Linked DNA regions of Rattus norvegicus. The protein of the gene in region 3 purifies or fractionates together with the protein of the main gene of each other region. This does not show direct contact. Links are inferred from orthologs where the notes say so. Each region holds a gene or a part of one and is shown on either strand. Other genes may lie near its edges. The genes, in order: Recql4, Pkn2, Pnma2, Cep290 and Mark4.

What was found.
Region 1: the proteins of Pnma2 (region 3) and Recql4 purify together in Homo sapiens (affinity purification with mass spectrometry; 3 studies listed by BioGRID and IntAct, with this or other methods). This does not show direct contact. The link is inferred for Rattus norvegicus from reciprocal best matches to the Homo sapiens genes PNMA2 and RECQL4.
Region 2: the proteins of Pnma2 (region 3) and Pkn2 purify together in Homo sapiens (affinity purification with mass spectrometry; 3 studies listed by BioGRID and IntAct, with this or other methods). This does not show direct contact. The link is inferred for Rattus norvegicus from reciprocal best matches to the Homo sapiens genes PNMA2 and PKN2.
Region 4: the proteins of Pnma2 (region 3) and Cep290 purify together in Homo sapiens (co-immunoprecipitation; 3 studies listed by BioGRID and IntAct, with this or other methods). This does not show direct contact. The link is inferred for Rattus norvegicus from reciprocal best matches to the Homo sapiens genes PNMA2 and CEP290.
Region 5: the proteins of Pnma2 (region 3) and Mark4 purify together in Homo sapiens (co-immunoprecipitation; 3 studies listed by BioGRID and IntAct, with this or other methods). This does not show direct contact. The link is inferred for Rattus norvegicus from reciprocal best matches to the Homo sapiens genes PNMA2 and MARK4.

What each region holds. Positions count from the first base shown.
Region 1 is NC_086025.1:110,304,302-110,309,467, forward strand, and holds part of Recql4 (ATP-dependent DNA helicase Q4), read right to left. Parts: intron 5,123-5,166; coding exon 4,996-5,122; intron 4,915-4,995; coding exon 4,789-4,914; intron 4,689-4,788; coding exon 4,587-4,688; intron 3,534-4,586; coding exon 3,441-3,533; intron 3,366-3,440; coding exon 3,229-3,365; intron 2,966-3,228; coding exon 2,882-2,965; intron 2,813-2,881; coding exon 2,624-2,812; intron 2,545-2,623; coding exon 2,365-2,544; intron 2,295-2,364; coding exon 2,153-2,294; intron 2,072-2,152; coding exon 1,809-2,071; intron 1,667-1,808; coding exon 1,420-1,666; intron 1,343-1,419; coding exon 1,213-1,342; intron 1,132-1,212; coding exon 962-1,131; intron 889-961; coding exon 708-888; intron 628-707; coding exon 468-627; intron 290-467; coding exon 181-289; intron 93-180; coding exon 1-92. UniProt on the Homo sapiens protein: An ATP-dependent DNA helicase which unwinds dsDNA with a 3'-overhang in a 3'-5' direction. Does not unwind more than 18 bp of dsDNA. May modulate chromosome segregation. The N-terminal domain (residues 1-54) binds DNA Y-shaped DNA better than ss- or dsDNA.
Region 2 is NC_086020.1:234,495,627-234,501,875, forward strand, and holds part of Pkn2 (serine/threonine-protein kinase N2), read right to left. Parts: intron 3,821-6,249; coding exon 3,703-3,820; intron 2,528-3,702; coding exon 2,382-2,527; intron 2,292-2,381; coding exon 2,078-2,291; intron 1-2,077. UniProt on the Homo sapiens protein: PKC-related serine/threonine-protein kinase and Rho/Rac effector protein that participates in specific signal transduction responses in the cell.
Region 3 is NC_086033.1:45,289,361-45,294,689, reverse strand, and holds part of Pnma2 (paraneoplastic antigen Ma2), read right to left. Parts: intron 3,069-5,329; 5' UTR 2,940-3,068; intron 2,662-2,939; 5' UTR 2,319-2,661; coding exon 1,224-2,318; 3' UTR 1-1,223.
Region 4 is NC_086025.1:37,282,468-37,287,889, reverse strand, and holds the end of Cep290 (centrosomal protein of 290 kDa), read right to left. Parts: intron 3,623-5,422; coding exon 3,543-3,622; intron 3,346-3,542; exon of another isoform or gene 3,078-3,345; coding exon of another isoform or gene 3,030-3,077; exon of another isoform or gene 2,755-3,029; coding exon 2,527-2,754; 3' UTR 2,017-2,526; downstream 1-2,016. Other genes in the region: Rlig1 (RNA ligase 1), read left to right, coding at 28-197, 1,828-2,016. UniProt on the Homo sapiens protein: Involved in early and late steps in cilia formation. Its association with CCP110 is required for inhibition of primary cilia formation by CCP110.
Region 5 is NC_086019.1:88,232,788-88,239,636, forward strand, and holds the start of Mark4 (MAP/microtubule affinity-regulating kinase 4), read right to left. Parts: upstream 3,767-6,849; 5' UTR 3,743-3,766; coding exon 3,692-3,742; intron 1-3,691. UniProt on the Homo sapiens protein: Serine/threonine-protein kinase. Phosphorylates the microtubule-associated protein MAPT/TAU. Also phosphorylates the microtubule-associated proteins MAP2 and MAP4.

The DNA.
Region 1 (5,166 bases), on a different chromosome or scaffold from region 3:
TAGGTGCATGAGGGCGTGGAAGTCCAGGTGTAGGTACTTTCTCCAGAAGCGCCGGTCCTGCCCAAACACCTGGGCTGGGTAGCATGGACTTGCTAGGGTGGAGCAGAAACACAGGCCTGAGGACTCAGCTGGCTCTAATGCCCATCCCCTGCTGACATCAGGCAACCCTGCAGCCCTCACCAATTCCATGGAAGATGCGGGCCACAGCCCTTCCTGAAAACTTTTCTTCTGGCCTCAGGGACAGGAGCTGGTGGACATCGCGGCGAACTTGGTCCTCCCAATCCTGAAGCTGTGAGAGGATAGCATGTGACCTCACCTGAGCCTCCACAGCATGTTACATAAAATCACACCCCGAGCAGCCAAGGAAACCTTGAGCCAAGCAGGGGCTGGACTGTGGGGTCAGCGTTATATGGGGACACATCACTGTCCCTGGCTTTAGGAATTGTCCTCAGAGGTGTGGCACTTACCTGGGTCTGCCCAGGTTTTGGATCCTGAGTATCCTTCATAGTTTCTTCCTCTTCCTCCTCCTCCTCCTCCTCAAAGTAGTAGCTGACCAGGGTCTTCACCCGATTGCTGTGCCCCTCGTCAGACTGCTCTAAACAGGGTCCACAACTGGGAAATGCTACACTGTGTACAAGACAGACCTGTCAAGAGTTGCCCATGGGGTCAGAACGGGTATACCTACCCATTGCCTACCTCCTTCTCACCTTTGAAAGGCCTTGGACATTTGGTGTAGGTGGGCCAGGGCCTTGTGTTCACGAGCCTGCACACGGCTGTACAGAAAGTCACAGATCTGGTCCTTCTCCTCATCTGTCAGGTCCCCACGACTGTGCAGGTGAAAGGCCAACTCACTGAACTCCACAAGCACTCCTGTGCCCTGTGGTGCACCTGTCGGCAAGTGTGTCAGTCGGAAGGGAACAGCTGGCTAGCACAACCCAGGCCAGGGTAGTGGTGGGCATACCTTTCTTTGGCTCTGGGTCCCACTTCAGCTGGTGGAGAGCCTGCCGTACAGAGGCCAACTCCCAGCCCATGGAGTCTGCCAGTTCCACCACATCAAACTCTAAGGCGCTGCTACCCTGACTTGTGTCTTTAGGTGGCCACTTGGCCCAGCATGCAGCCAAAGGGGGACACCTGTGCCCAAGGAACAAAGGAGTATGTGGTCAGCAGCCCTGATTCTTTATCTTTCTCCTCCCTGAGGTGAGATATGCTCACCTGTGGACCAGAGCTTGCAGCTGGGCACTGCCCCCAGGGCAACGCAGATGGCAGTGGGCATAGGTGTATGGCAGCAGCTCCAACCAGTGCCGAGGGTGTAGTTCCAAATAGCACAGCAAAGTCTCAATGGCTAGAGGCAGAGAAAGGCTCAGGAGGTGTGGCAGCAGCAGCCTCTCCCTGTAACCCCTGTCACGCATGGCTCCTTACCCTCCTCTTTCATGTCCAGAGCCAGTACTGTAGACTGCACTGGGAGTGCCCGCTTATGGCCCCGGCAGGCTAGTCCCAGTACAGGGTATGTTTGTTGGCCACTGTGCTCTTTGACTTCCTCAAGTGGGGACATAGGCCTCTGGGCGCATGAGCAGGCTGGGAACACACGCTGTACCAGCTTCTTCACAGCCAGGAAGTCAGTGCTATCAGCATGGACATGTCTGCTCAGTTCCCAGAGGTCTTCACCCTGCATTGGGACAGCACACAGCTATCACACTTGTGCCCAGAGTGGCAGCTGACAGGAAAACAAGATAGCAGCTGGGGCTGAAGTGACTGAGGAATAATGTAACCCTGGGTCTCCCTTAGTCTGGGGAGATGGGGTTGCCAACCTGAGGATGCAGGAACAGGTGGCAATGGGCAGGCTTCCCATCACGTCCTGCACGGCCAATAGCTTGCACGTAGCTCTCGAAGCTTGGAGGCAGTCCCAGGTGTAGCACAGCCCGAACATCTGGACGGTCCAGTCCCATCCCAAATGCCACTGTGGCCACTACCATGCGCAGGTGGCCCTGCATGAAGGCCTGTTGTACTCGTTTCCGTTCCTGGCTACACATGCCAGCATGGTATGCTTCCGCTAAAGTCTCAGGGCCACGGCCTGTAAAACCAATGATTGATGAGATCATAGCCAGCACGCAGAGGAAAGGGTTCCTAGGGGCCGAACCCTGCGTGTGCCTACCTCTTGGCTTTGAATCTCTCACTGTGGACAGGCAGGTCCGGAGGAGGGCAGCCACCCGCTCTGTGTCCTTTCGTCGAGCACAGTAAATGATAATCGAATCCAGGGTACGGAAGCGGTCACCTTGTAGCAGTGTCACCAGAGCCTGGCAATAGGGAATGATTAACATGACAGCTATGGGCTTCTAACAGGGTCCCTGGTATGTACACACATACCTGGTCTGAGTCTCGATCCATGGACACGGAGAGGTGCAGATTGGCAGGGATGCTGGCTGACCCACTGACCTCAAGCTCTTCAGCTATGCCCAGGTGCTGGGCCACATCACGAGCAGTGCTTCGTGTGGCTGTGGCTGTGAGACCCAAAAAGCAGCGCACACCCATATGCTCCCGAAGTACCTGAACCAGGGATAGTGTTCAGTCACTTAGCCCACCTGGGTCCAAGTCCACCTCCACCCTGACCCAGACGGAAGCTCACTTTACAAACACGTAAGTAGCAGGGCCGGAAGTTATGTGACCACTGAGAGAGGCAGTGGACCTCATCAATGCAGGCAAAGGCGACTGGAGGCAGCTGAGCGGCCGGGGGGAGGTTGGCAGGACCCTTAGCCCCGCATCCCACCAAGGCCTCTGGGGACACAATCAGCACATGCACCTGGGCTGCCCGTACCTGCAGGGAAGAAAGAATGAGGGACTGTGTAGATGGATGCCCACCCCCCCATCCATGGGCCATCCTGACCTTCTTCAAGACAGATTCTCGTTGTTTCTTGGTCATTCCTGAGTGGAGGCAGGCCGCCTTCAGACATGAAGGCAGATCAGACACCTGGAGAGACAATGCTGTCACAGCTCAGTAAAGCTACTTTCTTCCCCTGAATGCTCTCAGATACTTAGCCCTCTTGAAACAAATGCGTCTGACACTGGGCCCTGGAGAAGCGGAGGTAAGGGACCAGATGGAGAACAGTGGGCATTAGGCTGTGTCACCCTCAGAAAGAGGTCAACTGGTGTGTTTCAGGAACAAGAAGCACCTAAGGGTCCCAGGGCTGTCAGTTTTCAGAGTTTCCCGCTACTGAGAGCTCGTCCACATACCTGGTCATCCATGAGTGACAGGAGAGGAGAGACGACCAGTGTGAGACAGGGGCTTCGCTTGGCATAGAGCAGTGCAGGAAGCTGGTAGCACAGAGACTTGCCAGCACCCGTGGGCAACACTAACAGTGTGGAGATGCCTGAATAGCACAAGAGGCAGTTATGAGGCTCAACTGGTTAGACAAACTGTACAGTTCCTAGGCAGCCACACCTACCAGAAAGAATCCTCATGACAGCACGCTCTTGCCCAGGGCGGAAGGTGTGGTGCCCTAGCTGCTCCAGGACTTGGAATACCTCAGCAGGGGTGTCTGTGGACACAAGTTACAGTGATTTGACTGAGAATAAACCCACAGGCTCAAGTCTGCATACTCAGTCCCCACTTGGCAAACTGTTTGGGAAGGGTTAGGAGGTGTGTCCTTGATAGAGGAAGTGTGTCACTGGGAATGGGCTTTGAGGTTTCAAAAGCCCAGGCCAAGTCCAGTGTCTCTGTGCCTGCTGCCTGTGGATCAGGATGAAAAGGTCTCAGCTCCTTCTCCAGCACCAAGCCTGCCTTTCTACTTCCCACAATGATGATAATGGGTTTAGCTACTGAAATGGTAAGCAGGCTCCCAACCCATTGAGTCTGCCAGTTCCACCAGTTCCAGTTCCAATGCCCCCCCACCCCCCGGAGCTGGGGACCGAACCCAGGGCCTTGCGCTTCCCAGGCAAGCGCTCTACCGCTGAGCTAAATCCCCAGCCCCTCCAATGCTTTTTTAATAAGAGTTGCTGTGGTTGCCAGGGGAGTGGTGGCTCACACCTTTAAACCCTGCACTTGGGGGTTGGGGGGCAGAAACAGGCAGATCTCTAAGAGTGTGAAGCCAGCCTGGTCTATAAAGTAAATTCTGGGTAGCCAGGGCTACAACAGAGAGAAACCCTGTCTCAAAAACCCAACAATCAAAAAGTTGTCTTGGTAATGATGTCTCTTCACAGCAACTGGACACTAACTACAATGTCTTTTTTTTTTTTTTATTATATATAAGTACACTGTAGCTGTCTTCAGACACACCAGAAGAGGGCATCAGATCTCATTACAGATGGTCGTGAGCCACCACGTGGTTGCTGGGATTTGAACTCAGGACCTCAGGAAGAGTAGTCGGTGCTCTTAACCACTGAGCCATCTCTCCAGCCCTACAATGTCTTGATAAGGAGTCTGCTCTTCCAGAGGTCCTGAGTTCAGTTCCCAGCAACCACATGGTGGCTCACAACCATCTGTAATGAGATCTGATGCCCTCTTCTGCTGTGTCGGAAGACAGTTACAGTGTACTTATATATAATAGATACATCTTTAAAAAAAAACGTCTGGACCATTAAGTCTCACTCACCTGCTACCTGTCCCAAGGGCCCTGGTGGGTAGAGGGGTAACACTGGCGTGGGGCAATGAGGCACCGGTAGCACTGGTCCAGCAGGTTCAGTTTCCTCACCTGCTAAGATAGGCAAGAGAGGGCGATATGGGAACACCAGAATAGACAGAGACCATCCTGGCATAATGGCCACAGGTCACATCACACATCCCCCCTGACTCACCAGAGTGGTTACAGGAAGTGGTGCCAGTCTTCTGTGCTACTCCCCCCAACGTGGAAATGGGATGTTTGTCATTCCTGTCACCTTTTGGCTGGATGGTCAGGGTGGAGCCTGGACCAGGGTTAAGAGCTGCTGGAGCCTTTCGTTTGTGTACGTGATTCCCTAGCACCCACGGGGGTTAAATGATCCAATACTAAGGCAGAGGCTTACCTGGTTGGGAACACTGGGATGCCCAGTGACCAAACTGCCCACACCGGAAACAAGTGTCCTTGACTGTGGCCCTGGGTCCACTTTTCCCAAACCACTCTTGTTTCTTCTTCCACTTTTGCTTCCATACCTGGAGAAGGGCCACAAATGGAAGAACCAATTAGGAGTGGATGG
Region 2 (6,249 bases), on a different chromosome or scaffold from region 3:
CCTGACCTCCTAAGCAGGGCAATTTTCCTCACATGGTAATGATTCATTCAGTCACACCCATATAATAAAGTCCCAATAAACACGAGGGCATTTAAAGCTCAAGAGAACTGCCTAGGTGCTGAAAGACACTGATGTGTTAGTCAGGGCGACTGATCCTAAGAAACAGGGAGTGCCATGTTTAAGAACCTGCAAGCATTTTCCCTTTGGCTCATCCTACCCTCTCCCCCATCCACTTTAAATTAACTTTTTAGGCTAGCATCCTAATGAGCTTCATCCCGGCATTTTCAAACACCTGTGTCAGTGTACCTGCCTCTTACTCACTTCCTCCCCGTGCTTCCTGGCCCCCTTGGCTGGGTCCCTTCATCTCACCCTCTTCTGTTTTATTACAGCTTTCACTCTTTTCTTCTACCCTCCTTCAAGAGCTCTTCATTCATTCTCATGATCCTTTTTCTAGTTTTATCTCTTCCACACACACAACATATTCTTCAATCTATGATCCCACATAAGTTAAAACATGTGGTAATTGTCTGAGTCTAATTTGTATCCTTTATTATACAGCTGTAATGGTAAGTATAGCTCTTCATGGGTTTGATAGAACTCATGTCTCGGAGAATGGAGTGAGCCTAAGGCTCTGAAAATTTGCAGTCATCTGTCAGAAGTACAGATGACCTGGAAACTCTCTTATAATTATATGTCCGAAGTAAAGGCAAGCATATAGAATAGGCTTATAAAATTTAACATAATTTCCAATAATTAGCATTAGAATTTATTATATATTATTGACAGTTATTATAAATATAAATGGATGAAACTACATAGTTATAAGACACTGACATAAGGTATTAAATGATCCAATTCTACCTTATCACAAAGACTCACATAACCAAATATGTATTTCATTAAGATTAAATAGGATACTTGCTTCACATAGTAACCACTGAGAGACTGGAGATGTCTAACTTAAAATCAGATAAGCCAGACTTGATATCAGGGTTTTTTTTATAAAAAACAAAAAAGAAGTTAATTCATGAAAGAGATATAACAATTATATGCATAGATACAACAAAGTCAAAAACTATGAAACAAACACATTGAGAACTGAAAAAAGAAAGAGACAGTTTCAGAAAACCAGCCAGGAATCTCTAGCCCACTTTCAATAATGGCCCTACTAGCATAGTTATAATAACTTGAAAATCAACAACAGAAAAGGAAATAACAAGTGCTTGTGAGGATGTAGAGAACCTCGACATGCATTGTTTTGGAGAATGTTAAATTACATAACACCTGTCAAAGTTTGATGACTGTTCAAATTTTAAATACAAAGGAATCATATGACCTAGCAAGTGCATTCCTAGATGTGTGTCCTTCTAGATTGAAAACAGGTGTTCCAAAACAAACAAACAAACAAACACCATACACAAATGTTCACAGAGGTATTATTCACAATACCCTGCTGGTAAAAAAAAGAACCTAAATATCCTTACAAATAAAACAGAACACAGTATAAAAGTGGACATCGTTCAGTGAAGATGACTAAGTGTGCCCTGTGAAATACGCCAGTTATGGAAGGCTGCAGAGTATATAATCCCATTTTAATGAAATCTCTAGAAAAAACAAATGATTGAGCCAAGAAGACGATTAATTGTGCTGGGGCCTAGGGAGAGGAGTGGCATTGAATGAGCACTGGTTTTCTTTTGGGTTGATGAACATGTTGCAGAACTTGACAGTGGTAATAGTGGTTGTATATTACATTGCAAGCCTCTTCTTTCATTCATAGGTTGAACCCTTGTGTATGCTAAGCAAGCTCTCTTCCAGTGTGTTACGTGTTTAAGGCAGGGTTTTACTGAAGCTGTCCAGGCAAGCCTTTAACTTGTAACCCTCTTGCTTCAGTATCCCAAGTAGCTAGGGATACTAGCTGTACTAGGGATACCATGCTGTACTATCAGTCCCAGCACATAGTAAAGTTTACTGTATGAACCTAAACTATAACTGAAGGGAAGTCCTGTACACATGCCTTTGACTCCAACTATTAACCATAATCTGACAGGAAGGAAACGAAGAGCCGCATGCTACACACCGGTTAGTGCTGCTGGCTTGGACAGTGTGCTGTACTGGTTCTGCGTGGACAGCATACTCTGTCGTGGACTCAGGGTTGGCGATGCAACAAGGGAGAGCTCCTCAATGACGACACTGCTTTTGGGGTGATTCTTGGGGAGTTCATTTAACCTCTGCTCTAGTGAATATTTTAAAAGGTCCAACTTCTGACTTGATTCATTAAATCTTGCTTGGGCCTTGTTTGGAAAAGAGAAGATTGTCATCATTTAAGCCAGGATATTCTTCAAATAACATAATAAACAGCTAAAAATTATTTTTAAAATTACTTCTGAAAGCGCTTTTCTGTCTGTTACTTTTCCTGAGCCAAGTAATTTCATGACATTCTTTGCACCTTCGGCTACTGCAAATTCTATCCTAAAATGATGTCTTAATTCTTCCATTCGAAGCTCAAGAGGGCTTATCACAGGTTTTGCTAGGATAAAAAAGAAAGAAAATCCATTTATTAATTGAATCATTTTAGTCTAGTAATTAAAAATATCAGGAAAAAAATGAATTACTGACATTAACTTAGTTAAATCAATAAACACAATAGTAATAAATAAAAGGTTGAAATATAGAATGTTGTTTTAGCCAGCCATTTTACATCTAAATCACACTCTGTCAAAAGGCTTTAGGCCTGAAGACACTGCTATATATAACTTAATGATATGGAAACACAGTGGATTTCCACACTAGCAAGCTCCATACTAGTGCTCAACCACCCCTGGAACAAAGTGTTTGAGGGAAAACCAGGTCTGAACCAATAATGTGAGACTCCGCTCTTGATAACAGTTCCTAGACAGTCCTCTATTTCCATTGTGTTGACACTGCACTAGCTGTGACAATCGATCCACAGATGCCTTAGAAGTACAGGAAAGGACACACGAATACTCTCTACAGCAGACACTATGACTCATTCCACTTACGACTTGAGCAGCCATAGCACTGACGGGGGACTTGAAACCAATGTGCAGACGCTGAGAGACAATCGTAGCCTCTGGCTCTACGTTAACAACTAGCTCAAGAGTCCCATTGGAATAAAGACATAAATAGGAAAAGTGCTAAAGAAAGGAACACTCTTAAATAGCAACCCACTTCTTAAAGCATTAGCTAAAAAAATCTGGTTCCTTATTGAAATGAAGAAATATGTTCTGCACATGAAAAACAAAGGGCAAATATGTAAAAGTGATCATCCCAAGTAAAAGTAAACAAAAACTAACCTCCCAAACTGAAACTTTTCTTCCCCCTTAACCCTCAGTGATTGCCTCTTTTCCCTTTTTAAAGTTTTGATATATCTTCTTAAAGACTTTTCTATTTTATGTGCATAGTTTTTTTATTCTGTCTTTTTGCTTGCATGTATGTATGGGCACCATGTGCATGAATGGTATTTACAGAGGACAGCAAGGTTCCTGAATCCCTGAGGCTAGTGTTAGAGATGGTTATGAGCTGCTGTATGTGCTGGGAATCAAACCCAGGTTCTTTGCAAGAAAAACAAGTGCTCATAACTGGTAAGCTGATTCTCTAGCCCCAACTGCCTTTTTTATGATGACATTTATTTAGTACTCTAGGCTTGTCAAAGACAACAACAATTTAAGTGTAGTCCATCACCATTATCAAAAGCCAGCTCATTGGTCTGGACGGCCTGAAGAATCTGCATTCGGATGACTTCTATTTTTGTCTTGCTATCCTGGAGCAGTTGCTGAGCTGTACCATGGAGTTTCCGATCCTATCAAAAATGAAAAGGTAAGAAGAGAAAAGGATAATTCTTTCTTATATTCTGAATAGATCAACTGATAACCTAGCAATTGAAAGGGTTAGAAGAACTATGCACAATCTAATAATAATGTTTGATTTTTTGAGACAAAGACTTACTATGGTGTCTTTGTTGGCCAGGGATAGACACTCACCTGCCTCTGCCACCTGCAGTGGTGGAATTAAAGATTTGTGCCACCACATCTGGCTACACACACACACACACACACACACACACACACACACACACACACACGCATGCGCCACCAAGACTTTTTTTAAAGTGTTATAGAAAAACAACTTTATTGGTTGTTTTTCTTGAGAGAAAATAAGTGAATCTTACTTATTGGCTGGCTGACTGGTTACAATGCTGGGGACTGAGTCCAGGGTCCGACCCATAATAGTTGACTGTTCTACCATTCGACTTAGCTACATTTCCAGCTACGTATCTGAGAGGTATAAAGTGTTTGATTCATATATAAATATACCAAAATGACCACTATAAGCAGAGTGATATATATCCATAATCTTCTAGGTATGCTTTTAGTGTATATGTATCCTAAAAGAACTAAAAGCTATACCTCTAATATTTTGTTTTTGAGCTACACTATTCATCTTCTCTATAGACCTATTCATCTGTCCTAAAAACCTGTAGCCCAGGACCCACTTATTCCCATTTCTCCTCTCACATTACCCTAGCACCAGGGATACCACTTTCTTTTCAAGGATCCACATACAAATGAGATCACACAACATTTTTTCTTTCGGAGCCTGGCAAATTTCATTCGACGTGAAGTCCTCTGGGTTTAGGTATATTGTTACAAATATAAAAATGTCATGTTTTAAAATTAAAAATTATTTAATTTGGTCTCTTGAGATAAGAGTTTCTCTGTGTAGGCCTAGCTGCCCTGGAACTTGCTATGTAGGTGGCTTCAAATTCAGAGATCTGTCTGTCTCTACCTCCCAAGTGCCAGGATTAAAAGTGAATGTCACCATGCCAAGTGAAAAATTAAAATATATTGTTGGTGGTAATGGTGATGATAGTGGTGTGTGTGTGTGTGTGTGTGTGTGTGTGTGTGTGTGTGTGTGTGTGTGTGTGTGTGTAGGCATGCATGTGGTGGTCCAAGGACAACTTTTAAGGAGTAGAACTCTTGCTCTCACGGGATCCTAACACTGCACTCAGATCACGGCTGGACAGCAAGCACTTTCACCTACTGAGTCATCTTACCTGCACTAGAATCTCCCTTTTAAAGTCAGCATAGTATTTCATTGCATGCTGTATGTATATCATATAGTTTATCCATTCATCAGGTAGTGGACACTCATTTTGAATACCAGTAATATTTTCAAAAACTCAAAATTGCTATTTTCCCCATCACTGTTTTAAACCAAAGAGGATAAATGTTTCTTTAGCATGATCAATAATAACTCTTAAAATCAGAAGTCATTATCTAATGTTTACCTTAGTAATGAAACTTCAAACAAATTTTAAAAATTCTTCCTGTCTTACTAAGTTCTAGTTAATGACTGGAGGGACGGCTCAGCATTCAGAGCGTGTTACTTTGCTCTGCAAACTCTCTACCAGAGTTTCTGCCTAGTCACCAGGGCACCTATTGCTGCCCCCCTGCCTCTGCTGGGCTCCTGTACTCACATGTGAACACCCGCATACATATCCACATAATTAAAACAATAGACACAAATCTTTAAGTTTGAGTTACAAGTTCAGAAAGTGTCAAATACATGGGCAAATATTAATTAGACACAATATTTGTGTTCCCTTAAATTAGACAAAAGAACAAGAAACAGAAAAAACATTTTTTCTTTTCTTCTGCTTAAGTGTTAAGAATATGTTTGCTCTGAAACTCATAATTTAATCTGACATGAATCAAACTGTCTCATGTGTGAAAATGACTTTCTGAAAGCTGTTAGTTTCTTCCAGACTGTAAAGGGAGATACTGTTCTCTGAATACAGAGCTTCAGCGTGAGCTAATACTAAAATTATACCACCCACTACGTAATTATAGTTAAAAATATTTCATAGCAACAAAAGGATGGTTCAGTATTCAACTTTAAATGTAAAATTATCACTAGTAAGAAAACTATGTAATGCTATGCTTTCCAATAAAACATCACCTTCATTATTTTATCACATGATAATAGTTTGTTCTCTCTCTATCTCCCTTTTCCCCCTCACACCATGTTGAGACAGCTTCGTATGTATCCAAGGCTGGCATCAAACTCATTCTGTAGCTGGGGAAGGCCTTGAGTCTTGTCTCCAATATGCCTGGTTTATGCAATGGTAAACAAGTGAAAAAGGATTGTGCGTGGGCCTGGCAAGCACTGTATCAACCAAACTATGTCCTCAGCCCAGAGGCTCTGTAAACTATTTTAATACAGTACATG
Region 3 (5,329 bases):
CATTTCATGGTGGTTCTGTAGTGGCTGTATAGATAGCAGGGATTCTGGGAAGGAAAAGTATATGACCTCATTAAAGGGATAGTTATTCTTCCCATCTCATTAGCATAGAGAAGGTGAATCTGCCTTCCTGATGGGCAGTCCACTAGCCAGGCGATGAACCTGTCCAACTGGATTAACTCATGCTGTGGTTAGCCTGCAATGGTATGTCTCTGCTTAGACCATTCTTCTGACCAGAAGGCAACGGTTTTCTCTGAATGAGATTCAGAAGAGCCCTGACTAAGGCTACTGTAAATTCTCCCCTCTGATGAGGTAACCCTAAAATCATTTAGGAGATGGGCTAAAATTGGGGAACAGATATAAGCCATTTTATCATGAAAAAATCTATGGACCTAATTCTACAGCTATCCACAAATGGATTAGTGTCTGGCTAAAGGTCCCACCCTCAAGTGTAACCCTTAGGAAGGGGACAGGACCAGAGAACCAGGGATACATTGGGAATGCCTAGAAACTGCCCGGCCTGTTTCTTTCCTTCCTAAGGTTTTGTTTTTATTTTATGTGTCTGGTCTGCATGTATGTGTATGTGCCACATGTGTGCAGTGCTTAAAGAGACCAGAAGAAGAGGTTGAATCCCCTGAAACAAGAGTTATTGATAGTTGGGAACCACCGCATGGGTACTGGGATCCCTTCAAAAGAGTAGCAAGTGTGTTTAGTTGCTGACGAGTAGCTCTTCAGCCCCTGCCTGGCCAGTTTCTATCTCCTGTTCACATTATCACTCCGTCTGAAGAGACTGACAAGCAACTTGACCAACCAAGCTGTCTGGCCAACCCTTGTGTAGGAAACTAAGATTCAGGAGTTTTAGGTATTGGAACTTAGTCTTGTATTTTTTTTTTTTTTTAACAATCTAGTTAGAGTCCCTCAAACTCCAGGTTTTTTTTTTTTTTTTTACCTCAGAAAGAAAAACAAGATGGAGCTCTAGTGGTAGTATATTCCTCTAATCCCAGAACTCCAAACTTGGAAGGCTGAGGCAGGAAGAATACCAGTTCAAGGCCAGCCTGGGCTATAAGGTGAGAACCTATCAAAACCAAAGAAAAAGGAAAAACAAAAAACCCCAAAACCTTCATTCCTAATGCTTGACTTCAGTCCTGCACTTTAAAGCAAAGTGCACTAGAATGGGATTAGCCTTGTCAAGCATTACCAGATCAGAAATGGAGTAGGGATGTCTGTCAGTTGTTCCTTGAATTGTCCCAGCGGCCAGAGCCCTCCCTTTCCCCTGGCTCCTCTCTGCTCTCGTGTTCAAAGTAGGCCTCTTCTTCTTCCTCCTCACGGACCACCTTCATCAGCTGCAAAAACGTGGGCAGTGGGCCCTGATCCTTCAGCTCCCGTAGCCTGCACCAAAGAACGTTGCTAAGGTTGGCTCCAGCCATGACCTGCTCCAGACGTACCTGGTCAGCAATGTTCCGGGGGATGGCCCTTTTTTCCACAGCTCTCCGGAGCAGAGTCTCCAGCCGGAGCACATAGGCTGAGATTTTCTCTCCTTCTTGCTGATAGGTTTTTAGGTATTTGACCTGTGAGGTTCTACGGCTCTCCATGCTCCCAAACACCTGCTTAAAGGCCTCCAGACATTCTTCTGCACTGATAGAAGGGTTGTCTGCTTGTACTATGTGCATGAGGTCCAGGGCAGGGCCACGGAGGCTCTCTGTCACCCACCTTTTCTTTTCTGTCTCAGGGATGGGCCACTCTTTGGCTATCTCAGTGGCCTGTTCCAACCAAACCTCAAAGGGCTCCTCCTCTGGGGCAGCTACTGTGCTCCCAGAGAATACTCTCAGCTTACAGTACCTCACAGGCAACAGAGGCCTCTGGGCGTGAACCATTGCCTGCCCTACCAAGTGGGCCAATAACTCGGGGGATGTGCAGGGTGTGGTGGCTGGAGACACTCCCTCATGCTTCAGGGCTCGGAACATCCCTGCGACCGTCTGCCCTTCTTTTTCTAGAAAGAGGTTCAGTCTTTGGAGAAACTCAGTGTCCTGATTAGGGGTCTTGAAGATCACTTTCCAGACACCTCCCTTTCCCTGCACCTCACTGGGAACCACAGACATATCCGTGTCCTCCATAAGTTCTAGTAAGACAGCACTGGTATTGTCTTGCTTCTGGAGTATTTTGCCCAGTAGCCGGTAGCTGCCCACACACTTCAGCGCCTCCTGTAGGACTGTCTGGACCTCAAGCTCACCACAGTTCACAGGAATGCCAATCACCAGCAGGGACTTCTGGACATCCACACCCATGATCTTGCACCACTCCTCCAGCAGGGCCACTGCCATTGTCCCAGGGTGTGCTTTTGCACTTGGTCTCCAAGCCGCTCAAAGTCTTGTGGACCAAATGCCTTGTCTCTTCACCCAGTAGCAAGAACCAGACGCTCCCTGTCTGTCTTCAGACCCACAGCAAGGCTGATGGTAGGTAAGGTGGGCTGTTGCTCTGCAGTACGTTTGCTGCTGTTTCCGAGGGTTTGTTGTAGCTGTGTGGTGTTGACTCTGGTCACTGTGAGGCACCTGGAACAACAGTCTCCTGGTTTCTGTCACCTCACCTCTCTCTCTAATCAGTGGGTAGGTGGTGTCCACTCTAGCACCCGACGCTGGGGACTCACACAGCAGGAAGCAAGGACTCCTAGGGAAACAGAGACTCACTTTATACATAGCCCTCTATGTCCCAGGGTACACCCACACTCTAGTGTGGGGTGAAACTAGGAGTGGACCAAGGGCTCTAACTCCCACTGTGCTTGTGCCTACCCCACTCTGGTGAATCCCCTTTTTTGCCGACTGTACTTTTTCCCTGTGTGGACCAGATAAAATCCAGTCTTTCCACCCTGAAAACCCCGTCAGTGAGCAGGATTCAAGACCTTCACCCTTCATCAAAAGGATGAATTAGCAGATGTAGTAAAATACCTGTTTATGTGTTCCAGAATGTTCTTCAAGAGTCAAGGAGCCACGTACTCAGCTTCCAGATCAGGAAGATGTCACACACCTCTATACAGTAGTATACATGTGTCTTACCTTCAGCCAAGTCAAGCTGTCCTGTTATACAAACATGAATAACATGTTTTTAGGCCTAAAATCTAGTAACAAAGATTAATGCCCTTATTAAAGACGTAACAGTTCAGTAAAGGATGAAAGAAATGACCGTCCTCTGAATTTAAAGGAGCAACCTAAACAGGACAGTGTCACTACACTTCTTTGAAGAAAGAGTTGTTCAGGGGATGCTCCTCAGTTAGCAGAGTGCTTGCCTGGAAGAAGCCTTTAGGCAGCCTAGAGTCCAATTTCAGCACCATACAAATTGAGCAATCATTGGTAATACATCCCTGTAATCCCCACACTGGAAAGCTGGAGACAGGAGGATCAGGAGTTTCAGATCATTCTTAGCCACAGGGAGTGTGAGCCAGTGTGGGCTACATGAGAACCATCTTTAAAAACAAATCCAACCGAATTGTGTTTGGTGGCACTCCCAGCATTTGTGAAGTTGAGGCAGGAGGATTGCAAGTTTGAAGTGAATCTGGGCTACATAGAGACATCATGTCTCAAAAGAAGACACAAACAAAACTAAACAGAATCCATTCAAACACTTAAGACTAACTAAACATGGGTATAGCAGAGAAAATTCAAATCTCAGAAAAAGAAGTACACTTTGGAGTTACAAGTCAGTCCTCTTCAGGTTTTGTGTCTAGCCAGACTTTTTCAAGGGCCACACATGGAAAGTCACCCATCCAACTCCCCCTGTGGTGCTTTGAATGAGAATGGGCCCCATGAGCTCATGTATTCAAATGCTTGGTCCTTAGCTTGTGGAACTGTTTGAGAAGGATTTCGGAGGCGGTGCATCACTGACAGTGGGCTTTAAGATTTCAAAAGTCCATACCATTCCCATGGTCAATCTCTGTCCCATGCTTGTGGATCAGATATAAGCTCTCAGCTACTGCTCCAGCACTGTACCTCCCTGTCTGCCATACTCCTGGCCAGCATGGATATGAATTTCCCCTCCGAGACTGGAAGCCCCCATTAAACGCTTTCTTCTATAAGTTGCCTTGGTCATGGTGCTTTAGCAAAGAAATAGAAAGGTAACTAAGATGTTTAAATTTAACATTGTCATTTAAATTTGACTGGGCCATTGAGAAAAAGACAAAAGGCAGAAAACATATTCACCACTAAGTGATGTGTGCCCCATGCTTGCTTTGAAGGGCTGGGGAGAACTAGAAGTGTAAAAGGGGATGCTCCCAGTGACAGTGTGACCCCTTAGCCACGAGGATGCCTTCAGAGAAGCAGCTTCCTAATTGGCTAAAAGTCACAGAGTGCCAACACTAGACTGTGCGTTCTTATGGGGCCCATGTGGTATGCTACCTGATATGTTGTAATTTGGAGCTTGGCCGTGCCTCTCAGACACTTGTAGAGGGTATGTTAGGGTGCTACAACCATCCCCCTTTGGCCTGGACATTTCCCATGACTCTGAAGGAGGCCATATGCCATAGATGCTGGCCTTAACTATGGCAGCAGTAGGAGCAGATCCACTCTTCCTGGAAGGTGCTGAAGACTGGGCCTCTGTGCCAAAACCGGGAGAGCAAGGTGCTACCTCACCCTGTGTCTGACAGAATGGGGGCCCAGAACTTCAGACCAACCCAGGCCTGAGATCTCCTTGTAAAATATGGGAATGAACTTCCTCCCCATATTCATTCGCTTGGAGTCACTTGGAGGAATGAGAGATGAAATGAGCACTGCAGGGGTAAGACTGTAGCTCAGTTGGTCGAGTGCTTGTCACTATGCACAAAGCCTTGAGTCGGATCCCCAGCACTGTGCAAACCAGACATCGTGGCGTATGCCCATTACCCCAGCACTTAGGTAGTGAAGGTAGGTGGATCAGAAGTTTAACTCACTAGGCTACATAGGGAGTTTGAGGCCAGCCTGGGGTTACATAAAGGACCTTTTCTCAGAAAGAGCAAAAACAAAAGAGACATACCAGGCAATGGTGTCATGTGCCTTTAATCCTAGCATTTGGAAGGCAGAGGCAGGTAGAACTCCGTGAGTGAGTTCCAGGCTAGCCTGGTCTACAGGGTAAGTTCCAGGACAGCCAGGGTTTTTACACAGAGAAATCCTATCTTGAAAAACTGAAACAAAACAGAAAACGAACAAACAAGAAAGAAAAACACAGCCAACCAATGGCACTGGATGCCCAGATCCAGAAAAAAATTGTCACGTGAAAATCCACTAGTCTTAAAGGCCCCACGTGTCTGGAGAGACTGCTCAGTGGTTAAAAGCACAGGTTTGGTTCCTAGCACCCACATGTTGGCTTA
Region 4 (5,422 bases), on a different chromosome or scaffold from region 3:
TTTGTTTTTGAAATTTTTACCATTCAGGGCTAGGAAGCAAGAAATACCCATTACATTTTCTTACACCACATGGGGCATTCCAGGTCAGAAACCTGCCTACACTGAAACACAATGACCTGCTGTCCTGGTTTGAAGGCTGCAGAGAGGGTCAAATAGAAGGGATTGTGTGGCATTGCGGTGACGGCTGTTTAATTAAGGTAATGACAAAATCAGCTTAAAGTTGTTCTGAAAATAAAAAGATGACCCTCAGATTCTGGCATGCAGTTAGTGTTTCCCTCGTTTCGTATGCTGTCAGTCAAGTTTATGGGTAGTGTCAGGCTGACTTCGTCCTGATGGAGATGTTCAGCCAGGCACTTCTATACCGGATGTTCTTCCGAGGTAAAGTGATAGCACATTCCCTCCTGGGAACTCGTGCACATTGTGTTCTCTCATCCATGCTGTGCCTAGTGTAATTCAGCACTTCCCCAACTAACTTATTAGAGAATTTGTTGAGTAGAAAAGTGCCCAGTGGCAGCTTACACAGAATGAATTACCTTACCCCTTTGTGCCCTGTCCCCTGGACTTGTCTGATTTCTCACTGGCATATGAAATTCATAATGTTCAAATCTGAGTCTTTGCACTCCCATCTCCACATTACTCACTGAAATTAGAAGCCGCTGTTCACTGTTTAAGTCCTCTTGCCATTACTTCAGACATCTGGCCACCAGTTCTTTAAAGCTCTCATCATTGAATCTGTTTTATATTCAACTAGGTGCTCGTTTTAATTTAGGCTAGTATGCAAATCAGTGGCTTGAATTACTCTATTGCCCCCTAAAGCACTCATCTTTCATTTCTGCACATTCTTCACAACTGACTCATTACTTCCTGCAAAATGCTGTTGAGGGACGGCGAGACTTGCCGTGACACAGCCCTTCTCAACTTCCCATCACTGGCTCCCATTGCCATCTGGGCAAACACACGCTGTCTGCTTGTGTGACTGTCTAGTTCTAGGGAGGTAGGAACAGATGCCCACTTACCATGGATAAAGTACAGACCCCGTAGTGAACCAGGGACATCGTTGGGGTTACTTACAGGAATATGGGTAAGGAGCTACTTCCCAGCACGGAGGACCAAAGGCTGCAGGATCAGTCAGTCAGGAGCTCTCCCCGCTTGAGTGACGACACAAAGCAGTATCCTGGGGACTCCCCACACATTTTGCAGGCAGCTCCCAGCTGCTGTGGTGGGAGGAGAATCTTCTCTCCAGCAATTGTAACCTTGCAGAAAGTTTTGGGAATCTTGACAGTTTTAGGGACCTTCCTGAGACTTGTGAAGTTTGTTTACTTTCTGGGTCTTAAAGGGGCTCCATCTAGAGGGCACGTTTTCATGTGGAGGAAACAGCTATCTGACAGTGTCCCAGCCAGCTGTGATCCAGACTGCCCTACCAGTCAGTCTACCACGAATATTCCCTTTGGTGACAGACATGTCTGGCTCACATTTTTCTTTCTTTCTTTTCTGTAGTCACCAACAGACTCTACTCATTAAATGTTTAGGAAGCAGCTCCTGATTTTGTTAGTCATTTTCAGGAATTAGCAGAGTTAACAAAGCAACTGCTCTGCCTTCAGGAAGCTCAGATTCGAATGGGGAAGGCAGACAGCACTGACATTTAATGATAGCTATGACATTTAATTAAAATAAGTAAGAAAAGGTGGACCCTTACATTGTACCTGGTAGGTAGCAGACACCCGAAATAAGTATTTACAAGTAAGCTACAATGTAATTTACAGACAAGCAAGTTACGATGTAATTTACGGACTAAAGTTAATACCACCATTTTTTTTCTCCTTACAGGTCCACCGCCACCATCTTGGTTTATGCTGGCCACTTCCGGATACCTACATGAACTCCAAACCAGTTATTATTAACATGAACCTGGACAAATATGACTGTGCTTTTGATCACCAGTCTTTGTTTAATAAGTTTTCAAAAATAGATAAGCAGAAATTTGATAGGCTCAAAGATATAACCCTTGATATATAAAATAGAAATAATAGTTGGGACTGTTGTGATTTTTTTATTGGGACAGGTTTGCCATGTTTACACAGGTCAATTTATTTTTCCTAGCTGCTTGGCAAAACACATGTCAACTTCTAAACATGTTTCTATGTATTTATAGAAATCATCGTTAGGTTTGAATAACTTAACACAAAAATAAGTATAAAATAATCAATTTTAAATAGTAAGATTGTTATAAGCTTACCTTTATGCTTTTAGAGAATTTAAAATATGAAAATAGGAAATATTTATCATAGCTCATTATATACTATATAGTCATAAATTTTTGTCGTAGCTCATTATATACTATATAGTCACAAATTACTGAGGTCTTCAAAAATATACTTTTCTAACAAGTTAAAACTAAATATGATTTTATTTTTAAGCAAAATAATACAGTATTTTGAGAGGTAAATTCTGTAGGTCAGAGACTGATTTCCAGCTGAAACTTCTATGTCATCAGTAGTTTTAAATCTACAGTTTTAAATGAGGCCATTAATAAATCGGGACGCCATTAGGACTTTCTCCATCTTCCCGTTGTTCAGAAGCAGCAAGTGGGCTAGGCAATTCAAATCCAAATTGTTCAGAAAGTTTGTTTAACTTCTCTTCTAAGAGAATATTTTTCTTCACTTCTTCCTTATAATTGTACTTCAGGTCTTCAATTTCTTCAAAGAATGAAGGGTCAAAATTTTCCAGTTCTTTTTTCAGCTTTTTAATTTCCTCCTAAAAATTACATACAGGATACATGTTTTTGGTTTGAAATTTAAATTTGATTGTAAACACGAAAACTCAAAATCTTAAATATTTTTCTTTATATTTTACCGTTCAAGGTTCCATTGTACCATGTGCATAATGTATAAGCTGCCATCTTTGGCTTAATTTTAAGATTGGATCTTTAAACTGCCTCAGATATTCTCAGGCAAGCTAAAAGGATTTTGCTTTTTACAACATTTAAGATTTTTCAGTATTTTTAATGTTCTGATTTTTTACCTTTCTATCTAATATTGATGATCACGGAAACTCTGGGACTTGTAAGAGTTGAGTACCTGGTGAAGGAGAGTGATGTGAGCGGTGTTTACACTAACAGCGGTGAGCAGCCAGGGCTCACTTCTAGCCATTGTGTTTCTGGAGTCTTAAGGGGGAGGACAGAAATGATTTAAGGTAAAGATCCCTGAAAATAATTTCAAGGTGCTTAAAAAACACCTTTTCCACCATGACCCACAAATTAAGAAAACAGTTAAAAAAAAAAAAAAAAAAAAAAAAACCCTAAGAGGGTTGCATTGGTTACAATTTAAAAATAAATTTATTCTCTAATCCTCTCTGTCTGATTTTTTGCTGTTGCCAGTTGTTTAATAAAAAGTTGTCATGAGTCCAATAATAATAAAGTAAATGTAAAATAAATCCATGGATTTTTAGGCACATACTTAAAGATGGTGATCATAAAAATTGTTTCCTCAAGCTGATTTCACAAAACGCTGAGCATACTAAAGTTAGATACAGAGAAGAATTACCTTCAAATGTTGCTTTTCTGGCTCTGACTTTCTGAGGTGTGTCTCCAGGTCATTTATCTTTTTCTTCAGTTGATCAGAATCTGCCAGAATAGCCATGAAAATTATGACATGTTTATCTTGACTATGAGTCAGTTAAAGATAGAGGATTTGTTTCAGAATAATCAGGAAACATGAAACCTACAGTCTGCCATGATCTGGCCCTGTATGGTGTGCAGACTTCTCATGGAAACTGCTCCCACTAGTAGCTATGGTCACAAGACAACAAGCAAGAGGGGTAGCTGCTAGGCATCAGAAATGTGGGTTATTCTTTTTTATATGAGAGAAATTCTTGTTTTTGAGAGAAAATCGTGCAACCAGTAAATTTGTTAAGTACTTGTATAGGCAAAGAACTAAAATGGCAAGCTGGCCATTTATACCTTCACACCAAATACCTTTGGCTACCGTATATAACTGTTTTACACTATATGCCAAATTTCTAAGACTGTGTGTGGCATAGATGAAGGAGTGCAGGAGGAAAAGGCTGTTGTCACACAGCACAAAGGCTAAGAAATAACAGTGTCATGGCACTGCAATCTTTGAGTTTTGTTTTAATGCTAAAGTTTGATGAAATGAGGAAAAAAAGTTTTCATAAGGACAGGAAGTGTACTGGAGTCCTCTATAACTCAAAGACAGGGGACAAAGAAGGTTTCAAATCAAACAACAATGCATTTTCCTTTTGGAGGCAAAAAAAAAGAGTCGCCCTTGTATTTTCATGTCCTATCTCATGTAAATCTCAATTCTACAGATGAAGAGAAGAGAAAATATTTGTATTCCTAAGACTGACCTATATTATTGAGTAAGATGACCTGTAGTCATTTATTCTCATACAGATATTTTTATGACTTAATAAAAATTAAAGAATTTTATATCACATTTTATCAGTGCATCTGTTGATGGACAGAGTAGCTGATCTTATACCCTGGCTACTGTGAGTAGTACCCCAGTATGCGCCGTCAATATGCATATCTTTATTAGTTTGAGCATAGTCACTGAGGTCTTGCACACACACTGTCGGTGAGATACTGCTTTAAGGAATATGTATAATGTATTCTGAAAGCTCTTTGATTGCCCTCATTTTACATGTTGATTAGGACATCCAAACAGACTGATTTTGAAGCAGAGTATTCTCTGAAATGCTTATCTTTTGGTCTTCCTTTACTTAAGACATAGGTAGTATAAGGGCTTTGGATTAGACAAATTAGAGACCCTCCTAACGTCAACAGAATTAATAGATCACTGGTACTGTGTTAAGAGCACACCAAGCTAGCAATCACACGTCCATTCTAGGTGGATGAATATTGGTTTTAGTTATCAAGAAGCACAGTAGCACAGGGGTTAAAACCATGGCATGGTTAGGAGTTCTGAACTTTCATAGAATTAATGCTTGACCTTCTTATGCCAGTTCCCAGTTGTCCTGATCTTGAGGACAGATGGGTTACTAATCATTTATCAAGTACAAAATAAAGACAACAATACTGATCCTATGACATTCTAAGAATAAAGTGAAAGTTTTGTAAATCCCTTAGCATAGTGCCTGGCACAAATCATATCACGCATTAGTAAGAGTGGCATCAGGACTCTACAGGAGCTCTATGAAATAGTTCTAGATTATTCAGAATGTAAGATTGGTGTAATCCTGTAGAGTAGAACATGACACCACTTTATCACACTATCAGATAATGGATGGCACGATTGGGTTAGGAGGTTCAGTGTGGTTATGCCAGAAGCTTTGGAACTATGCTGAGCATGGACCCTGGGGTAACCTGCTCACTGGTATCCATTCACTAGCATACTATGGAGTTATTAAAGACATGAATGGTGTACACATCTTAAAAGGTCTC
Region 5 (6,849 bases), on a different chromosome or scaffold from region 3:
TTATGTCCCCAGTACCCACTTCTTTCTTGCTCTCCTATGGAGGTCAGAGGTCAGTTTTGAGCATCTCCCTCTATTACCCTCCACTGAAACACTCTCCTCACTGAACCTAGAGTCTGTCGTGTCAGTTAGACTGGTTGGCCCTAAGCACCTGGTATCGGCCTAGCTCTACTTGCCCCACCCCCCACCCAACACAGGCGTGTCCCACCATGCCCAGCTTTTACGTGGGTGCTGGAATCTGAACCCAGGTCTTCTTACTTGCATAGTAAGCACTTTACCCAGTGAGCCATCTCCCCATCCCAACTCCCAGCCCTCATTCTAATTTAAATTTTGAGATAAGATCTTGAAAACTTGAAATCCTCCTGCCTCGGTTTCCCCAGTAGCTCACAGGCTTACTCCGCTACCCCTACTTCCCATGTGGCTTTCACTGGGAGGATGATACCATTGCCAGGTCATGTACAAACAGGTCTCTCACCTACACTCTGTTCCCAGCCGAGGCCAGGGAGGGAGGCCCTGAACACACACAGGCTAGGGAAAAACAAAGGCTAGGATAGACAGGTGCCAGCTTCCTCACAAGGACGAAGCCCAACAGGCATGTCATCCCAGCTACTTGGGAATCAGAGGCAATCTTTTAAACTCAAGGTCCATCAGAACAATGTAGTGAGTTCAAGGTCAGCCTAAGCAACTCAGTGAGATACTGCCTGAGACAAAAAAAAAAAAGAACTGAGGAGATAGTTCAGCAGTAGAGAACTTGTTAATTAGGGGCTGGGGGCGTGGCTCAGTGGTAGAGCCCCTGCCTAGAATCCCCCAGTGAGGGGCTGGGGGCGTGGCTCAGTGGTAGAGCCCTGCCCAGAATCCCCCAGTGAGGGGCTGGGGGCGTGGCTCAGTGGTAGAACCCCCCCCCCCCCCCCCCCCCCCCCCCGCCTAACTCTCAGTACTGTGCTGTGGATATGGTGGGCAGAGCCCTAGCCCATGGTACATCCCTAGCACAGCCAATAAAAATAGGATTACCCCGGGCTGGTACCTCACCCTCACCTGTCCCCGGCACATGCCACTCGTACCCCAACTCCTGTGGGTCCAGCTAATGTAATCATTCTCAACCCCAGACTTGGAAGGATTCCCCAAGGCTCAAGCAGGGAAAGTGCTCCAGGCTCCTGAGCATTGATCCCCCCAGATGCCACCACTTCAGCTCATGGCTCAGGGCCCCAGGAGCAGCAGGCTGGTGGTAGAGATGGAAGATAAGGTCTCTGATCCCTGCGGAGTTAGGAGCCTGGAGAAGAACCCCTGTTGGGTGCTGACAGGGGGCTCCCTCAGAAGCAGGAAGGCACTGCACTGAAGGCTGCAGGGCTGAGGGACCCCTGCAAGGGGGTAGCTGGGGCAGGGGATGACGAAACCCCCTGGGGTCAGGGGCAGAAGCTAAAATTGGCCCGCACCACCAGCTGGCCCGGATCCCTCCTGACCGACAGACTGGTGCCTGAACACTGCGCCTGTTGCTAGGGAACATAGGGAAGCCGGCCCGGTCTCCACAGCTCTATTAGTTGGTGTAGAAGAATGTGACCTTTTGTGGGTATCACAACGGTCAGCAGGTAGCAGGGGAGGGGTCTATAACCTCAGACTGCAGAAAGAGACCGATGTCACTCCAGACGAGACAAAGTTATCTTCATAGACTGGAGTCAAAAGACACAACGAATCACCTCAGTACCCTCACTACACCCCAACAATCTCAGGAACGCAGGGGAGAGGCTCAGAGAGGTGAGGTCACTGGCCTGAGGTCACACAGCAGTGCGATGTGAATCTGAGTTTATTTGAATAATTAAGGTAGCGATAATCACAACATGTGACCTGAAGAAGTCCCTGTCAGGGAGGTGCCCCCATCAACCCACTGACAAGGAAACTGAGGCTGGAGCAGACTCTGGGAGCTTGTCTGACGACTAAAGACAGCTGTAGTTGAGAACACACCGCCTTCTGACTCAGATCCCCAGTCATGCCAGCAGCCAACAGCCATGAGCGCCGCCTATGTACCAGCCTTCACCCACATGTCTCCGGTAATTCTTTGGGGGACTCAAGTCGTTACCCCCCAACCCCTCCAACACACACACACACATACTTTCCAAGGCCGGAATCAGGCTCAGAGAAGGAAGCCTCTTCAGGCTTTACAATGTAATCTGGCCCATGGAGGCAGCATTCGAATCCAAGACTCAGAAACCGGGTTCCTCTCTGGAATGACTGGGGAAACCATAGTGGGTGGGCCTGAGTGAAACCTCCAACTTGAAACCTAGGCCAACAGGGTACAGGGGCAGAGGGGCAGAGAGGCATTATCTAATAGCTACCATGTGCATTAGAAACAGGAAAAGCTTCAGGGTGTACTCAGGAGGCAGAGGCAAGTGGATCTTTTTGAGTTCAAGGCCAACCTGGTCTACATAGAGGAACTCTGTCCAAAAACAAAAGTGTGTGGCTGGGCTGTGTTGAAGGTTGGTGAGAGGGTGGCCGGTAGAGGAACCAGCATAAGCGAGAATGGATCGGTGGGCTGACTTAGACACCTGGAAAACTGTCAGAATTGTGGGAAATGCAGGATGGGGAGCGGGGTCCTGCCTTGCCTCCATGAAGGAAGACCCTGGCATGGGAAACGGTGCAGCCAGGAGTCCCCAAACCAGAGGATCTGGGCTCAGTAAACTCCCAGATGTCAGGGCTAAAGACCCAGGCAGGAGGAGGTCAAAGGCATGGGCAGAATGAAGGGAGAAGGGAAGGCCTAGGGTCTGGGGGTGGTGGGGTGGTGGTGGTGGTGGTGGTGGTGGTGGTGGTGGTGGTGGTGGTGGTGGTGTTTCCTCCAGAAAGCCCAACATCCAGGAAGGAAAGGGGCTCTAGTTAGAAGGGAGTTGTGGGGAGGGGATGAGGAGGTGAAATTGGGGAGAGTCTCAGGAGGAGCCAGAGTCAGTCTGGCCTGGGGCCTGGAACCCTAGCACAGGATTGGAGCCTGCAGGTTAGAAACCAAGGTTTTCCTTAGGAAGACTGGACGCGCCTGGGTCGCATCTAGGGGACCCCAGAGGCGACAAGGATCCAAGGACAGAGTAGCCTGGCACAGCAGGGTCAGGCTAGGGAGTAGAGACACCTTGAAGGAAGCGGGCAGGGCCCTGGGCCCAGGTGCCATTTGGCTTCCTGGGGAGGCAGCTCTCAGGAGCCCAAACAGATCTGGGGACTGGCCAGGGGTAGCAGGGAGAGCCAGCACCCCGACTCGACAAGAGGCAGGGAGGACAGCAGGGCCAGGCCGGGTCGGGCCTTGCGAGGGGGATGGGGTAGGGGGGAGACAGGGCTGCGCCTCGGGGAACAGGGGCCCATGCCATCCGGGAAGAGTCGAGGCCAGACTGCGGGCGAGCGAGCGAGCCGGGGACTACGGGGCAGCTGAGGAAGGGAGGGGCTGCCGGTGGGCAGGGGAGGGGGCTTCCTGGAGGGAAGAGACCAGGCGGAAGCGCTCTGCAGAGGGACCGGAGAAGGGTCCAAAGACAGGGGCGCCCCTAGGGGTCGGGCTGGGCTGGGGCTGTCGGGAGGAGGGAGCGGAGAGGCCTCAAAGTCATGGGAAGCGTCGGTCTGGGATGTGGAGCCGGGAAAGGAGTCAAGACTGGCGGGGTCAGTGGTCCGGGAGGGGTTCTATGGCTGGACTCAGCCAGGGTTCCCCAAGGGGCTGGGCCCCACTCACCGTGTCCGAGTTCCGATCGTTGCCCGGGGCCAGCGCCGTCCTCGAAGACATCTTCTTTGGGGTCCCAGGAGGGAAAGGGACAGGGGCGGCCGGGTGGGGGGGGGTGGGGATCTCGGGGTCCCCTCTCTTCCCCTCCCCCCCCAGCCGACCTGGGGACGCGAGCTCAAAAGCTGGGCGCCTTGGACGCCCGAGTCCTCGCTGAGCGAGAGCGAGAGAGGGCAGGACGGGGGAGGGGAGAAGACACAGAGGGTCCTAGTGGCCCCGTGCAAGGGGAACCCGGGGCGCCATCTGGGCAGCGGGCAGACAGGAGGGTGCACGGGCGGGGGCCGGGGAGGGGGCGCGGAGCCGGCCCGGGGCGGCGGCGGAGGGAGGCGACCGAGGGGCTGGGGAGGAAGGGACGTCAGGGGGAGGGGCGCGGTGGGCGGGGTCAGTTGAGACTCCGCCCCTGCCGCCGGCTCTTAAAGGCACAGGCCTGGGCTGGCTCCCCGGTTCTGGGGGCGGAGGCAGGTCTGGGCGTGCCGGTCTCCAGCAAGTTCTCACAAGAGAATCAGAGTCAGCGGCAGAGAGTTGCTGAGGAGAGAGTAGAGGGAGATGTTGAGAGATGGGAGAGGGGACACACAGACGCGAGGTGGGAAGAAGCAAAGTCACAAAGAGGGACAGAGAAGCCAAGGGCAGAGACAAAAGGATCAGGACAGAAAGGGGACAGAGACAGGGACCGGGGAGACACACACACACACACACACACACACACACACACACACACACACCCCAGAGAGAGAGAGAGAGAGAGAGAGAGACAGAGACAGAGACAGAGACAGAGACAGAGACACAGAGACACAGAGACACAGAGACAAAGACAGAACGGAGATAATCAGGCGCCAAGGCAGAGGGAACTAAAGAGACAAAGAGAAACTCCAGGACTGGAAGTCTGCCGAGGAAAGGAATAAAGGAGTGGCAGCAAGAAAGGAGAGAGAGAGAGAGAGAGAGAGAGAGAGAGAGAGAGAGAGAGAGAGAGAGAGAGAGGCAGGCCTGTGTGCCTGTCATCCCGATTGAGAGAATGGGTTGCAGTGAGTTCTAGACCATACACAGCAAGACCCTATCTCAGAAAAGAAAAACCAAAATTGGAGGCAGTCCCTGGGGTGAAGAAGATCAGGGGTTCAAGGACATCCTGAGCTTCAGCCCTGGGTGCAGCAAGGGTAGATAACTGGCCAGCAGCCCCGGCTGTCTCACTTTCCCAGTCTGTACAATGAAGGAGAGAGAGCCTCACTTGCCTGCCAAGATAGCTGGAAGCCCAAACAGGTGTTGACTTGCAGGGGCATACAGACCCGGGTGTGGGGGGTGGGGGTGGGGTGAGACTGTGCTGAGAACACACAGTGCCTTGTGGGAGGAAAGGGGGGGGATGCATCACCCTGGCCCAGAGCCCATTGTCTCGCTGTCTTAGAAAGTCTTCCTGAGCCTCAGTTTCCCTTTGTGAAAATTAGATGTTACAAGCATGGTGGTATCCTGGAAGGTTTGAAGTTCCAGATCATCCTCAACTCCATAGTGAGTTCAAGACTAGCCTGGTCTATATGAGACCCTATCAGACAGAATAAAAGCCACAAGAGACAAAGGATAGCAGCCATGTGCTGGAGCTAGCTCGAGCAAGCTGGTTATAGGACTGGCTACTAAGCATAAACACTTTTAAAAGTTAAAAATGGGGGCTGGGGATTTAGCTCAGTGGTAGAGCGCTTGCCTAGCAAGCACAAGGCCCTGGGTTCGGTCCCCAGCTCCGAAAAAAAGAAAAAAAAAAGTTAAAAATGAGGTGACACAGTGGTTAAGAACACTGACTGCTCTTCCAGAGGTCCTCAGTTCAAATCCCAGCAACCACATGGTGACTCACAACCATCTGTAATAGGGATCTAATGCCCTCTTCTGGTGTGTCTGAAGATAGCAACAGTGTACTCAGAATAAATAAATGAATCTTTTGTAAAAAGTTAAATCATGCAAACATGCAAGGAAGCGAATTGTATTGAACTGGGGCAGGGTGCACTAAAGATGTGGCTCAGCAGTTAGGAGCACTGGCTGCTCTTCCAGAGGACCTGGGCCCAGTTCCCAGCGCCCCCATGGTGGCTCATGACCATCTGTAACTCCAGGTCTAGGGGACCTGACACCTTCTCTGGCTTCTCCAATAACTACAGATGCGTGCACATGCTTGTGTGTGTGTGAGTGTGTGGTGTGTGTGTGTGTGTGTGTGTGTGTGTGTGTGTGTGTGTGTACAAATTTGGAAGTCAGTTGTCTCCTCTCTCTGTGAGTCCCCAGGATCAAACTCCGGTCACCCACCTTAAAGGCAAGCACCTTCACCGCACCCCGCCACACAGCTAACCCTACTCATTTATTGATTTTGAGACCAGTTATCATATAACCCAGGTTCTCCTCCGTTGAGGTTGGCCTTGATCCTCCTACCTCCACCCCGGAGGCCTGAGACTGCAGGCGCGAGCACCACACCCAGTTATAACTCTGGGAGTTGTTTGTTTTTCTTTTGTTTTAACTGAGGAGTTTGAGATCACAAGTCTCCGCTACCACAAATTATGCGGTCAATTTCACATTGGGGAAATCGAGGGGTCAGCAATCCGAAGAAGCCTCGCCCACAGAAATCCACCTTTCAGTCACAGTAACTCCCCTGCCAGTTAAGTGTTTTTTGAGACAGGGTCTCCTTCTGTAGCCCAGACTGACCTTGAACTTCAGGCCAACCTCTTGTCTCCACTTGCCAAATCCCCACAGGCATGAGACAAACATGATCTCAATATATAGCACAGGCTCACCTCTAGCTTTCAATCCTCCTGCTTCAGACTCACAAGTGCTAGGAATTTGAACCCTCATCTCTCTCTCTTTTAAATATTTATTTATGTATTTATTTTATGTACATGTGTACACTGTATCTATCTTCAAACACACCAGAAGAGGGCATCGGATCCCATTACAGATGGTTGTGAGCCACCATGTGGTTGCTGGGAATTGAACTCAGGACCTCTGGAAGAGCAGTCAGTGCTATTAACCGCTGAGCCATTTCTCCAGCCCAGAACCCTCATCTCTAAACTGCAGTGATCTCTTTTTTCTCGGTGATAGTGCAGCCAAGGTGTAACCATAAACCAAAGCGCATATACAGATGTCTTAGCGAT